4 separate regions of the Mus musculus genome follow, and regions 1, 3 and 4 are each reported to be linked to region 2. Evidence: microRNA targets listed by miRTarBase, many of them from high-throughput screens and not tested one by one. Region 2 holds a microRNA gene; each other region holds the end of a gene's coding sequence. Distances are from middle to middle.
The links. Region 2 holds the annotated microRNA mmu-miR-374b-5p (AUAUAAUACAACCUGCUAAGUG, at 2,026-2,047, shown strand). A microRNA usually pairs through its seed, bases 2 to 8, with sites in the 3' UTR of a target mRNA and lowers its output. Matches are read on the target gene's strand: a 7mer-m8 pairs with bases 2 to 8, a 7mer-A1 pairs with bases 2 to 7 and ends in A, and an 8mer does both.

Region 1 (3,000 bases), 96 Mb from region 2:
AAACAGGGTACCAAAGGAACGGTTAAGGTCCCCTCTCTTAACCAAAATAGCCCATTAACCAGTACCGTTCTAGTCACTGTTGAAAATCCACATTGAGAAAAAAAAAATCCCTATCTCTGTGAGGTTTACATCATATCAGGAAAGGAGACAGGTTTCACAATGAACATGACATATTAGTAGATTATCAAATATAAGACGATAATAGGCCATGCATGATGGTGCACACCTTTGATACCAGCACTCAGGAGGCAGAGGGAGTTGGATCTCTGTGAGTTTGATGCCGGCCTGATCTACACAGTGAGTTCCCGAACAGCCAGGGCTATGTAGAGAGACCGTGTCACCAAAAAATCAAAAAAAAAAAAAAAAAAAAAGAAAAAAAATCCCTAAGTGAGCCTGTAGAGATGACTCAGGAGTTAAGAATGTGTGCTGCTCTTCTGGAGGACCCACATTTCACTCACAGAACCCACACTGGGTGGGTTACAACAATCTGTACATTTATCACCAAGGAAGCTGACCTTTCTTCTGGACTCCATGGACATTTGAACTTACGATTAAATAAAAGAATAAAAAAAAAAAAGTACTCTAAGTGATATATGGGTAGCACGAATGAGTCTTAGATCTCCAATCTAGTGTAATATATGAACCACAAATTAGTAAATTACAAATTGTGAGAAGGAAAAACATAGGGTATGATGCGAGAGATAACAAGCGGAGGTGTTTTAGACAGACAACCTTTGATATGTAGCTGGTGGTATATACCCGTGCCAAAATTTAGGAGGCAGAAGCAGGAGGAAAACAAGTTCAAGGCCAGCTTTGGTTCCATAATCGGACCCTAACTCAAACCAAAGCAAAACAGGGAGGTAGAGGCACTGTCGGGAAGTCAAGATCAGCTTTAGTGACCTAAGGAGCTCCAGGCCAGCCTTGGCTACAGGAGATCTTGTCTCAAAAATACTATCAACAACTAAGTCAGGTGTGCTGGTGGGTGCAAACCTATGAGTTCCAGCCACATGGGAGATGGAGACAAGAGTACTGCAAATTCACAGCCCACCTGGGTTATAGGATGAGTTCCAAATTGATCTGGGCAATTTAGTAAACTCTGTCTCAAAATAAGAAGTAGAAAGAGACTGGGCAGTGGTGGCGCACGCCTTTAATCCCAGCACTCGGGAGGCAGAGGCAGCTGGATTTCTGAGTTCGAGGCCAGCCTGGTCTACAGAGTGAGTTCCAGGACAGCCAGGGCTACACAGAGAAACTCTGTCTCGGAAAAACAAAACAAACAAAAAAGAAGTAAAAAGAGGCAGTGTTAGAGCACTTGCTTAGTGTGCAAGAATTCAAGTCTCAGTACTTGTAAAACAAAGCAACTCTCCCGACAGCCAGCCAGCCAGCAAAAAACCTCATTGAGTGAGTGACCAAAGCAATGGCTAGGGAAAGGTGTGTATGTAGAAAGCAAAAGCAAAGGCCCTGCAGTGCACCTAGACCTGGCCCGGGCCAGTTTGCCCGAAACAATGCTAGGAGGCGAAGGTCACATTCTGTCTGTGGGGAAGATAGGGCAGTGCTGCATTGGTGGGCCTGGGCGCACACTAACATCGTTTTTGCTTTTAAGTGAGATGCTACAACAGACAGTGAGGGAAGGACAGTGACTTCTGAATCTAGGCCAGTGGCCCAGCAGAATCCTTGAGGCTGCTGGGTGGGTGGTAGAAGGGGTTGTAAACAGGATAGAAGACAGGCACTTGGGAAGCACTCTAAGGAAGATAATTGTGAAAAAAAGGAAAAGGCTGGAGAGATTTTGAAAATAGGAACCAACAGGACTGGAATCCCCCCCCCCCCCCCACACACACACAGGGTCTCCAAGCAGCCTGGAAATTGCTTTGCAAAACAAGAGACCTAGGCCTGTCTCTAATTCCCCCAGAGCTGTGCTTAAAGGTGTGTCTCAGAGCCTGTCCAAGGAGTTTAAAAACAATTAAATGTGGGTTGCTGTAGAAGGCTCACCCAGGACCACATCTGCTCCCACCTAGATGCTGTTACCGTCTCTGTTTAAGACAGGATTGGGCTATACTGACCACGCAGGACTCGAGAACTTGCAATCCCCATGCCTCTACCTCTCAAGTGCTGGGATTATATATGTGCTCCATCACACCAGGCAGGGTTTTTTTTTTTTTTTTTTTTTCGCGACAGGGTTTCTCTGTATAGCCCTGGCTGTCCTGGAACTCACTTTGTAGACCAGGCTGGCCTCGAACTCAAAAACTCCGCCTGCTTCTGCCTCCCAAGTGCTGGGATTAAAGGCGTGCGCCTCCACCGTCCGGCGGCATTCATTTTTTAAAGGCCCAACAAAAAGGCATACTCGTGTTTCTAAGGCCTCCAGCCCTCCCCTTTTCCTCATTTGAAATTCCAAACTCTCTCTTTCATTAAAGGGTTAAGGAGAGGTAGCAGCTGACCTACATCCTGCTTTAGCGCTAGCGCCCTTCAAAACCCAACGTGTTTACCTTCTTCCACCTACTGGCGTTACCGCCTATTGGTTTACCAATGATTTCAAAGACCCTCCTCCCCTTCCCTTCCTGGAAACCTACACCACTTTGGTGATTCTCCACTGCGCAAGTGCCCCTACACTCCTTTCATTGGTTACTCTGAGCACTGCTCCGTCCCCTTCCTTCTCACGGTTCCTCTCATTGGCTAGTTTTACCAAGTTCACCTTTTTTTTTTTTTGGTTCTGCCTATCTATTGGTTCCTTCAAACTTCACTCCTTGTATGCTCCCTGCCTACCGCATCCGCCCAGTTGTCACTCACCAGATTACATCTGATTGGAGAAGGAGGTGGGCGCACCCTGTTGGCCGTAGCCTTGCTGCCCATAGTCGCCCTGAGGCCCGTAGCCACCGCCACCGCCGCTGGCTGGCTGCCCGTAATCGGGTTGATAACCACCCTGAGGCCCGTAGGAGTCCTGGGGCCCATAGCCTCCGGGGCCCTGCCCATAGCCCGCATCGCCGTAGGCATCGCCAGGAGCTGGTT
Region 2 (3,073 bases):
TCTAGCACAAAAAAAACAGGCAATATTATTCACTTCTACATTTTGTTTTTGGAATAGCTGACAATGAAAATTACAAACAGTATTTTATAAACATAATCTGTAAATGGGAAAATCACATCAAGGATACATTCCCTTTGTCTACCTTGAAATGATCCAAGGCCAGCCTTGTCTACAAAGCCAGTTCCTGAACAGCCAGGGCTACATCGAGCAACCCTGTCTCAACAGGGTAAACAAGGAATGAAAGAAAGATTGATAGTCTCTTACTATGTTAGGTAATGTAGCTTTTATGCAAACTTTAATCAGTGGTTCTGAAGGCTTAAGTTTTCAGTAACATATTGTTGGAGAAATTTGTATCCAGACATCCTTATTGGCCTTGAATTCGTTTAAAGGTATTTTCTGCTCCTTGTCTAAGGGACTGCCAGAAAATGGGTTATACTGCAAGGTTGTGTTTAGTTGAGTATGGATGAGAATTGGGCTCAAGACACTGGAGCTGCTGTTCATCTTCCTACTTGGCTCAGAGACATGACGATTTATACCAGATTGTCTGTCCATTTTAAACTTCTAACTATGAATATAGATACACCTTAAGGGTCTTCAATTTCAAGGTGCTTATTACCCTATAATCTTAAACCCCAGGCTAAGATTATTTATTGATAATGCTGCCAACAAATGTCTTTTAACTCATGAGTAACTTTTGTCGGGGCTACAAGGGGTTTTTTAAGAGTCTGTTTCCCTCTCAGATCACTTTTTCATGTTGATCTAAATGTTTGTCCACAGTTCAAATCATTTATTATTATTATTATTCAGTTCTCTCAGTAGTCAGGATATTGAATTAGTCCCAAAGATGAGAGATATTCAGGTATATAGATTAAACCTTACAGGCTGACTAGTTACTCGCTAAGAGGTTTGGGGTAGGATATATGGAGGAGAGTTTTACAGGGAAGGAATTTTTTGTCATGGATAGCTGCCATCCTCTCATTCCTTAGATATACATTTAGTTTCTTCTCCATAGAAGAGCCGTATCTAGGAACTGCCAATCCTCAGTAAGACACGGAGATAGCAGCGGTGCCCCATCATTCTCATCTGAATAGTCTCTTGTCACTGGCAGGCTTTCTCCTGAACTTTATTTTTCTTTTGAAGTGTTTAGAGACTTGAAATGTTCATTGCTTTACTTTGAAGCATCAGATATGTGTAATATCCACTCTAGGGTTTCTGATCTCAAAGCATTATAAAGCAAGGCATGTTGGCACATGCCTAGAATCCCAGCATTTCGGGTCCTTATACAGGAAGACCATCTTGACTTTGAGTCCAGTCTGGGTTTCATAACAAGTCCCTGACTGAAACAAACAACAAAATCTATGAACATGTTTTCTACTCAGACCTATCGTATTGATCTTTACTATTCAAATAATGCATTTATAATGAGGACAATTTTACTTAAGTAAATGGTTCAGATTTGGGAAAGGAAGCTCTGAAGTGTGCATGCAAACAGTGACTCTAGGGTTTGGGCATAGGCATTAGCTGGCCTGTTTGTTAATTGCGTCCACTCAATGCTATCTTAGTTATTGTTGCTGTTAATGATGGAGCGGGCAATGCAAGAATTAAAAGAAGAAAGTTAATTATTATTATACCTTTTGAATGGTCAATGGTGTTGTGGGGAGGGATCATGGACGTTTTTAATGATTCACTAATGTGAAGTTAGCCCATGTAGGAAACTCGATGATTCTTCCATTCATGCTCTTGATTAGTAATCTATTGCCTTTCTTCTTTGTTCTAAGTTAAAAGCTTTTGAAAACTTGTGTTATAGCTGAATAAAGGTTTTTGTATAAACACAGAAAAGGATGTTTGGGGAATGGTCACAGTTGACCTGAAGCCGAATTCTAACTGATAACTAGCTATGTTAGTTCTTGTGACTGTCATCCCTGGAGAGCAAGAAACAACAGCTGGCCTTGGTGATCAGGAGAACTTCATGGATCGCGCAGCAACCTGGAGTGGTGTTCCTCTGAAGAAATCCTACTCGGGTGGATATAATACAACCTGCTAAGTGTTCTAGCACTTAGCAGGTTGTATTATCATTGTCCGAGGTTATGGCTCTCGTCTATCAAACTAATCCGTAAGGGCAAGGATGGTGACTTTGTACTCACAGTGCCTAATCCGGTGCACATTGTAGGCCTCATTAAATGTTTGTTGAATGAAAAAATGAATCATCAACAGACATTAATTGGGCGCCTGCTCTGTGATCTCCATGGGCTCAGCTTGTTCCTGCCAGTGGCCTTCAACGTTCAAGCTCTCCGCAGCGTCCTTATTTCTGCAGCTCATTCCTGTGTTCTGTGTAGTATAATCATAGTGGATATATTTTACCTTTCAAACCAATTCCAATTGATTGATAATTGTGCCTCGACTGTGTTTTATAAAAAGGATTCCATATCTGGTTCTTTTCTATCCTGAGGGTGTGGAAGGAAGGGATAATAGCTCATGTACCATAAATGTGATATTTTCTATGAAATACTGTATTTATGCCTGTGTTTTGGAAATGCCTGCTTGTCATTGTTGCATCTCTGTTGTTGTTACTATAATCGCTACCGATTACTCCCTAGGTTGGACTACAGTGATCACTGAGTAGGAGCTTCGTCTTTAAAATCTGGGGTGTGCTGTTATGGTTGGTATTCATTTTCCTTTACCCGCTTTCCCCATACCTCCATTTATAATTTTATTGCTGCTCATAGCTCCAGAAGGATATAGTAACAGAGCAGGCATGGCCTCAGTGTGGTAAGCTAAGTGAGAACAGGAAGTGGAACCAGGGTAGAAAACCCCAGTCTTGCCCCTAGTGACACACCTCAAGCAAGGTTCTCCTTCTGAAAGGTCCCATTACATTCCCAAATGTAGCCACCACCTGGGATATGAGTGTTCAAATACATGAGGTAGGGCCACGGTGTTCCTTCAAAGCACCACAGAGGGCAGAATGTACACCCTGCTAGAATAGCTTTCTATGAAAGGATCCATCTCTTCACTGGAGCAGGCAGACATATGAAGAAGACAACTTGGAGTGGTCGTGAAAGGATTTGAGGTTTGG
Region 3 (3,073 bases), not on the chromosome of region 2:
GTTTAGCCGCCAAGGGCAGTGGGTGGGAGCTCCATCAGCTCTGTTTAATTTACTGCTGTTCTTTATAACTATTGTGTGTATCTATGCCTGTGGATATGTGCCTGTGAGGCTGGATCTCCTGGAGCTGGGCTTACAGACAGCTTGATATTAGTACTGGGACTTGAACTCAGGTCCCCTGGAAGAGCAGCAAGTGCTCTCATCTACTAAGTTAACTCTCTAGCACCAAGCTCTGGCTTCTTTAGTAGCAATAAAGGCTTGGCCACTCTACCTCCCAGAAAGACCCACTTGGCGGCAGTTTCTACAGATCAGAGAGGGATTTTGATGCTGTGTGGCCTCACGGTGGGCAGAAATAGAGGCACCTGGAATCTCACCATCCACAGTGGCCACCAAGCACTCCCCTGCGCCAATCTATTCCCCAGCACCGTCTGTACACTATACCTGGGCGTTTCATAACCTTCACAGGCCTGGTGGGTAGTTCCAGCTGCTGGTTCTTTGAAGGGTGACAGAGACGGTTCTGATGGGCTTCTCTCTCCAGGTTCTACAGCTTGAGAGGAAAGCATCGCAGACCCGGGAAGAACAGGTCCTGGAGCACTTCAAAGAGCCATCACCTATATGGAAACAGCTCCTCCCCAAGGACCCCTAATGTGAATCCAGATCAGCGGTGGCCGGCACAGCCTGACCAGATCTTAGTTACCTTTTAAGGAAGAGAGATTTATTCTAATGACATAAAAAATATAAACAAGAATGTTCTTTTTAAAGTGTATTTTATTATTATATATATATAGTCTCTTGCTTACATATATGTCTGTGTCCTACATGCATGCCTGGTACCCACAGAAGCCAGAAGAGGGCATTAGGTCCTCTGGGACTAGAGCTAAAGATGATTGTGGGTACTGGGAATCGGACTTGGGTCCTCTGTGAGAGCAGCCAGTGTGGCTTCACAGGCATGCGTGTAGGCAAAAAAGCCATGCACGTAAAAATAAAACTCATAAAATTCTAAACACAAAATAAGCTTATTGATGTGTACGTACATGTATATGTGTGTGTGTGGATGCCCCAAAGGCCAAAAGAGGACATCAGATCACAGGAGCTGCAGATGCAGGCAGGTGTGAGCCACCTGGTCTGGGTACTGGGAACTGAACCCCAGTCCTCTGAAAGTAACAAGCATTGTTAACCACTGAGCATCAAGTGTGCTGTCACGCTGCTCAGTCACAGTGCTTTCCGGTGTGTGTATGGCCATCATGGGCTAGGATGCCCCATGTGGGGATGGGCCTGGGTATCAGAACTGTGACATGACATGCTTTCTGACCAAGGAGGGGCATCTTAAACCTGAAAAACCTGAGAAGCCACTCCCCTCCACCCACACCTGCCTCCCTGCCCTGGGTTCCAGTGGGAACCTGGATGGTACTGCCAAGTTTGCTTGTGTGGTGTCAGGGAACCAGCCATCCTTACCCTTACCTTATCCTGTGGGAACCTTCCAGGTCTGAATGCAGTGGAATGGCATCTGGTCCCTTTCTCTGCCCAGAGGACCTTCCAGGGCTCTCCTCTACCCCGCATCTGTCCCTCTGTCCACATGCAGCCACATCCTCTGCCTGGCTCACGGGCTTAGCTCCTTCTTGCTAGGCTGGCTATCCAAGTGTAGAGTAGGGGCTACTCGCTATATCAGAAACAAAGATGAACACATTTGTGTCTTTTCCACAGTGTTAAGAGTTCATTGAATAACAATATATTCACAAGGTATAGATAGCTGTTTTGGTGGCAATAATGTGCCAGACAACCCGGCTTTCCTTGATAACCTGGCTGAGGCAAAAAGTTTCTTTCACTCCAATCTTAATTACTAATATTAACTATCAGAATATGCATAACATCATATAGCGTGTGTGTGTGTGTGTGTGTAAGTTATCGAGTAACCACAAAGAGTTGACAGGGAGTTCCCAAGAGGTCAAAGAAGTCAAAACTGAAAAAAAAAGAAGGTGCAGCAGTCTCTATTGATAAAAAACAGAAGCCAGGGATGCTGTGGCAACAACTACTACAGTGAAAAGGCAGGATTGGATCTAGGCAAAGAACCAGCAGGGATGGACAGACAGCAATTCAAGTAGGGTGCATGCAGTGGGAAACCAAGCCAAACTGAAGCCCCTGGCGAGTCAGGAGTTCTCTGCCTGTCAGTCCCTGATGGGCACACACTAGCTGTCAGGAAGGGCTATTGCCATAACAGCAGTTGGATTTTTTAGGCTGGTGGAGTTAGGGTTCTAATGTGCTTCTTTCTCCCGGTTCCACAGTTTGAGGAGAAAGCACCATAGAACCAGGATAGGATACAGAGGCCATTGCCTACAATGGAAGAATGGAAGCACTTACCCCAGAGGTCCTTAGTGTGACTTTTTAAATTAAGATGTATGTGTGTGTGTGTGTGTGTGTGTGTGTGTGTGTGTGTGTGTGTGTGTGTGTGAGAGAGAGAGAGAGAGAGAGAGAGAGAGAGAGAGAGAGAGAGATGTATGCACTATACTCTGTGCACAGGTGGCTGCCAAGATCAGAAGAGGATGTTGGAACCAGGGAAGCAAGCATGCAATTGTAAGCAGCCTGATGCGGGTTCTAGGAATTGAACTCAGGTCCTCTGTAAGAGCAGTGAACACTTAATTGCTGATTCATCTTCCCACCTTCCTACTGTGACTTTTTAATCACCAATAGTCAGTGTCTAAACAAACAAACAAACCAATAGCCAGTGTCCGGCGTCCAACGGGGGAAGCTATGCTCCCATCACTCAGGTGGAAGGACCCTGGGGAGTCTGTCACAGTCTCTCCTTGCAAACGGGCTGAAGTTGGGGGAAGCTTGCTTCAGAGAGAACAGGTCCTCAGCTGTGGGGACATGGAGGATGGAAGAAGAGAGAGCTAGGGAGGAACTGAGCCCTTTTCTGGTCTCGGGCCTTTCCTTTATTTCTCAGGCAGACCCCACTAACCAGGATGGCGGAGGAAGCCAGGAACCTGGCCTAGATTTTCTGCTAGGATAGAGGCTGAAATGCTCAGCCTAGACAGATACTATCCCTCTGACAGAAGCAGAAGAGAGCAGGTGAGACCTG
Region 4 (3,073 bases), not on the chromosome of region 2:
TGTGATACTGGACGGCCAGCTGGGAACTCACAGCAGGGGCCATTTGAAGTAGCAATACCTGAACATATGGGCCCCTTTCCCTATACCAAGATCAGGAGATAAATATTAATAGGTACATTTTTTACTTGAAGTTTACAGATCAAATAATAACTGTAGGATATAAAGCACTTTTGTTTACTTGGTTTTCACCTGTGCCGATGAGATAATGCCAGAGCCTGAGGATCTCTGGGGGCAGGTGTACAGGTCAGCGCCCGAGTGTGACCATGGAGCCTCTGTGGGAGCCAAGCACCTGTGTGTGCAGCCCTGCAGGTTGTGGGAAGGAGGGGAGACAGGGCAGCACAGGAGGGCACCAGCTATGCTTCCTTTTCCTGCCGTTCTGGTCTGCTCGCCTCCATGCTGGCACTCTCTGGGTAGTCGGCTCTTAAATCTGACCTGCGCTGTTATGTTGCTTCTGTCTGGACATAGGCAGCAGTGAAGACGGAGACAAGGACTAGTTGGCTGTAGACACTCTCCCAGCCAGCAGCGCTCCTGCTTGTCCACCTGAGCAACGCAATCCACTCCATGCTGACTGGCACCAGACAGTGAGCGGCTCAGGAGTGATGGAAAGCGGGGCCACCACGCCAGGAAGCAACTCCCTCTGCAGCGCTCGTCTGCCCGCTCGCCTGGGCTGCTCCTGCACTCGTGCTGGGCATCCTGCCGAAGTGGCCACACTGCCACACTGCTCTGGCTCACGAGTATTGGAGGACCTGAGCACCTCAGGCCGTGGGTCTGTGTGGGGTGTGTGGGTGTGGATGTCTGCCTCGCCACAGGTGCCACAGAGGGGCAGGCGCACCAGGGGAGGGAGTGCTCACAAGTGAGCCATATTTATTGTCTTTAGGAAATCACTAATTGCTCTTTGACTGCACTGTGGGTGAGTGTTCTGAGCTCCCAATATTGTACAGCATCGTAAATTATCCAAGGAAGATATGGCAGGCCAAGCTGGTGCTGACCGCTGGTTTGATTTTCTTTTTTGTTTTTGTTTTTGTCTCTGTCTCCTTGGGTGTCTGCTCTGCATGGCACTGTAAAGCTTCGGTATTTTGAGTGTTCTTCTTTCTTAGACCCACCCGCGGGAACCGTTCACAGGTACCCTCCCTCGGGCCCTTTTGATTCTGGGAGTTAGGTTGTGTTTTATGTTCTTAGAGGACATATTTTTGATGAGGCCAAAACTGCTGTTCTGTTTCGTTGATTGCATCGAGCATGTTTCTATATAAGGTGGGTACTCTGAGCAGCCTGCCCTGCCTCTCGTGCTTTGAAATTCTTTTGGTAGAAATCCCTGAAGAGGTGCACCCATCACTCAGTGCCCAGGGTCCTTTTCTGGCGAGATGAGGCCATGCACCACTTGCTCAGCACAGAGGCCAGCTTGCGGGAGCTCTGCGTCTCAGGCAGGTGGGACCTCTGAGACACTGGTCCCCACAGAGCTGTAAGTGAGAAGAGCAGTTTGTCCACTCTGGGTGCTGCTGAGGGAGCTGTTTGGGAAGAAGCCATCCCTGGCCATAGCCCCCAGGATACAGCCAGCCCCTGTAGCTGCAAGTAGCAGGGCAGAGACCCCAGCAGGGCCTCCAGCAGCCCTCATGGCCCCTTTCCTGTACCAAGCACCCAGCTCTCCTCTTGTTCTGAAAGGGATTTCACATCTTCAGCGTAGCTTCAGTACATCATCGGAGGAGTCTGCTGTCCCTAACACAGAGGGAGACCTCGCTTTCCTACCCCAAGCAAGTATTGGTGGCCATGGCAGCGTGGCGAAGCCATGCTGGGCGGGAGCTGCACCTGCTGGCGTGGCTCTTCTCACTGAGCTCCTCGCCCCAAATATCCCGGTGCTGCCCCTGCTGTCCAGGCTCCAGTGTGACAATGGGTTGAGTCTCCAGGCCCTGGCCAGGACATCCTGCTATCAATCAGAAGGACTTGGACTCTCCTGCAGAGTGCAAGTGTGGGTGTCGGTGTGAGTTCACCTAACAAATCATGACCTTTATCATCAACTCTGATTCGATCCATGCGTTTTTTTTATACTAAGCAATAACTTTACGATCAACAGAAGAAATTTTAAAACAGAGTCTCCTTTTCCCATCCTTGGTGCAGACTGTGCCTGCCTGGACTCCGTAGAAAGCACTGGATTTTGTGACATGTATATTAAAAACAGGGCATTTCAAAGTAATTTTGCCAAAATTGTCATAACTGAATTTTTGCTGTGTGGACTTTCTGATTTTTTTTTAATTATTTTTTTACCTCTATCTACCAGCTTTAGTTGAGAAAGAAAGGAGGTGTAATTATAATAAGTTTTTTTTGTTTTTTTTTTTCAAATTACAGGTTTCAGAAGTTGAGATTCACTGATTACAGTCAGGTGGATCCATATGTGTAGCCTCCTTTCGCAGCCAGCCTGGGATAGAGTTACTGACATTTGAGGGCTGGCCATCTTTCACCATGCTGAGGGGATTTTAACAATACAATTCCCGTTTATATTTATATCTATATTGTTCTCATGGTAAATTGCCAAAATAAAAGCATTTTATATATTGAGTTGGGGTGGGGGTGGGATAGATCTTCTGTGTCGTTGCATGGAAGGGAAGACTTTGTATAACACGCATCAACACATCCTCCCCAAATCTCAAGCAATAGACAGAAATCTCAGTAGACTAAACTCCAGCCCATTTTTTAAATGTGAGCATGTGCTTTGCCATCCAGTGTGGGTTTTGTTTTGGTTTAGGTTTTGTTTTTTGTTTTTCAAGATAGGGTTTCTCTGTGTAGCCCTGGCTGTTCTGGAACTTGCTGTATAGTCCAGGCTGGCCTCAAACTCAGAGATCCACCTGCCTCTGCCCCCTGATGCTGCCACCATACCCAGCTGGTTTTATCTTTTAATGATAACTTAGGTGCCCTTGGTGGGCTTTCCAAACCTGGTTACTCAACGTTAGCAGTGAAGCGAGCCGGTGGTGACTGTGGCTGGAATGTGGTGGGCTTGGTGACTTTTCTTTCTGCCCTCCCTTGAGTGCTCACCCTCCACCTACCAGACTGGAAGCTGACTTTAAGTCCTCTAATAAAAATA

Region 1: the mRNA of Syp is a reported target of mmu-miR-374b-5p. The part of its 3' UTR that is shown has no 7-base or 8-base seed match.
Region 3: miRTarBase lists Nadsyn1 as a target of mmu-miR-374b-5p. Seed matches in the 3' UTR shown: 7mer-m8 at 770-776.
Region 4: miRTarBase lists Lmtk2 as a target of mmu-miR-374b-5p. Seed matches in the 3' UTR shown: 7mer-A1 at 2,300-2,306.

The regions. Positions count from the first base shown.
Region 1 is chrX:7,648,669-7,651,668 of GRCm38, reverse strand. Syp (synaptophysin) reads right to left here. Exons shown (of 7, transcript NM_009305.2): 6 at 2,782-3,000. The coding sequence ends at 2,786. Among named protein-coding and RNA genes, the nearest start is that of Prickle3, 7.2 kb to the left of the region's middle.
Region 2 is chrX:103,572,086-103,575,158 of GRCm38, reverse strand. Mir374b (microRNA 374b) reads left to right here and starts at 2,005; the gene lies at 2,005-2,099. All of the region lies in intron 9 of Ftx (Ftx transcript, Xist regulator (non-protein coding)), which reads left to right. Mir421 (microRNA 421) reads left to right here and starts at 2,163; the gene lies at 2,163-2,238. It overlaps Mir374c (microRNA 374c), which reads right to left and starts at 2,074; the gene lies at 2,026-2,074.
Region 3 is chr7:143,793,519-143,796,591 of GRCm38, reverse strand. It overlaps Nadsyn1 (NAD synthetase 1), which reads left to right. Exons shown (of 21, transcript NM_030221.2): 21 at 536-1,001. The coding sequence ends at 643. Among named protein-coding and RNA genes, the nearest start is that of Mrgpre, 11 kb to the right of the region's middle.
Region 4 is chr5:144,184,251-144,187,323 of GRCm38, forward strand. It overlaps Lmtk2 (lemur tyrosine kinase 2), which reads left to right. Exons shown (of 14, transcript NM_001081109.2): 14 at 466-3,073. The coding sequence ends at 494. Among named protein-coding and RNA genes, the nearest start is that of Bhlha15, 4.5 kb to the right of the region's middle.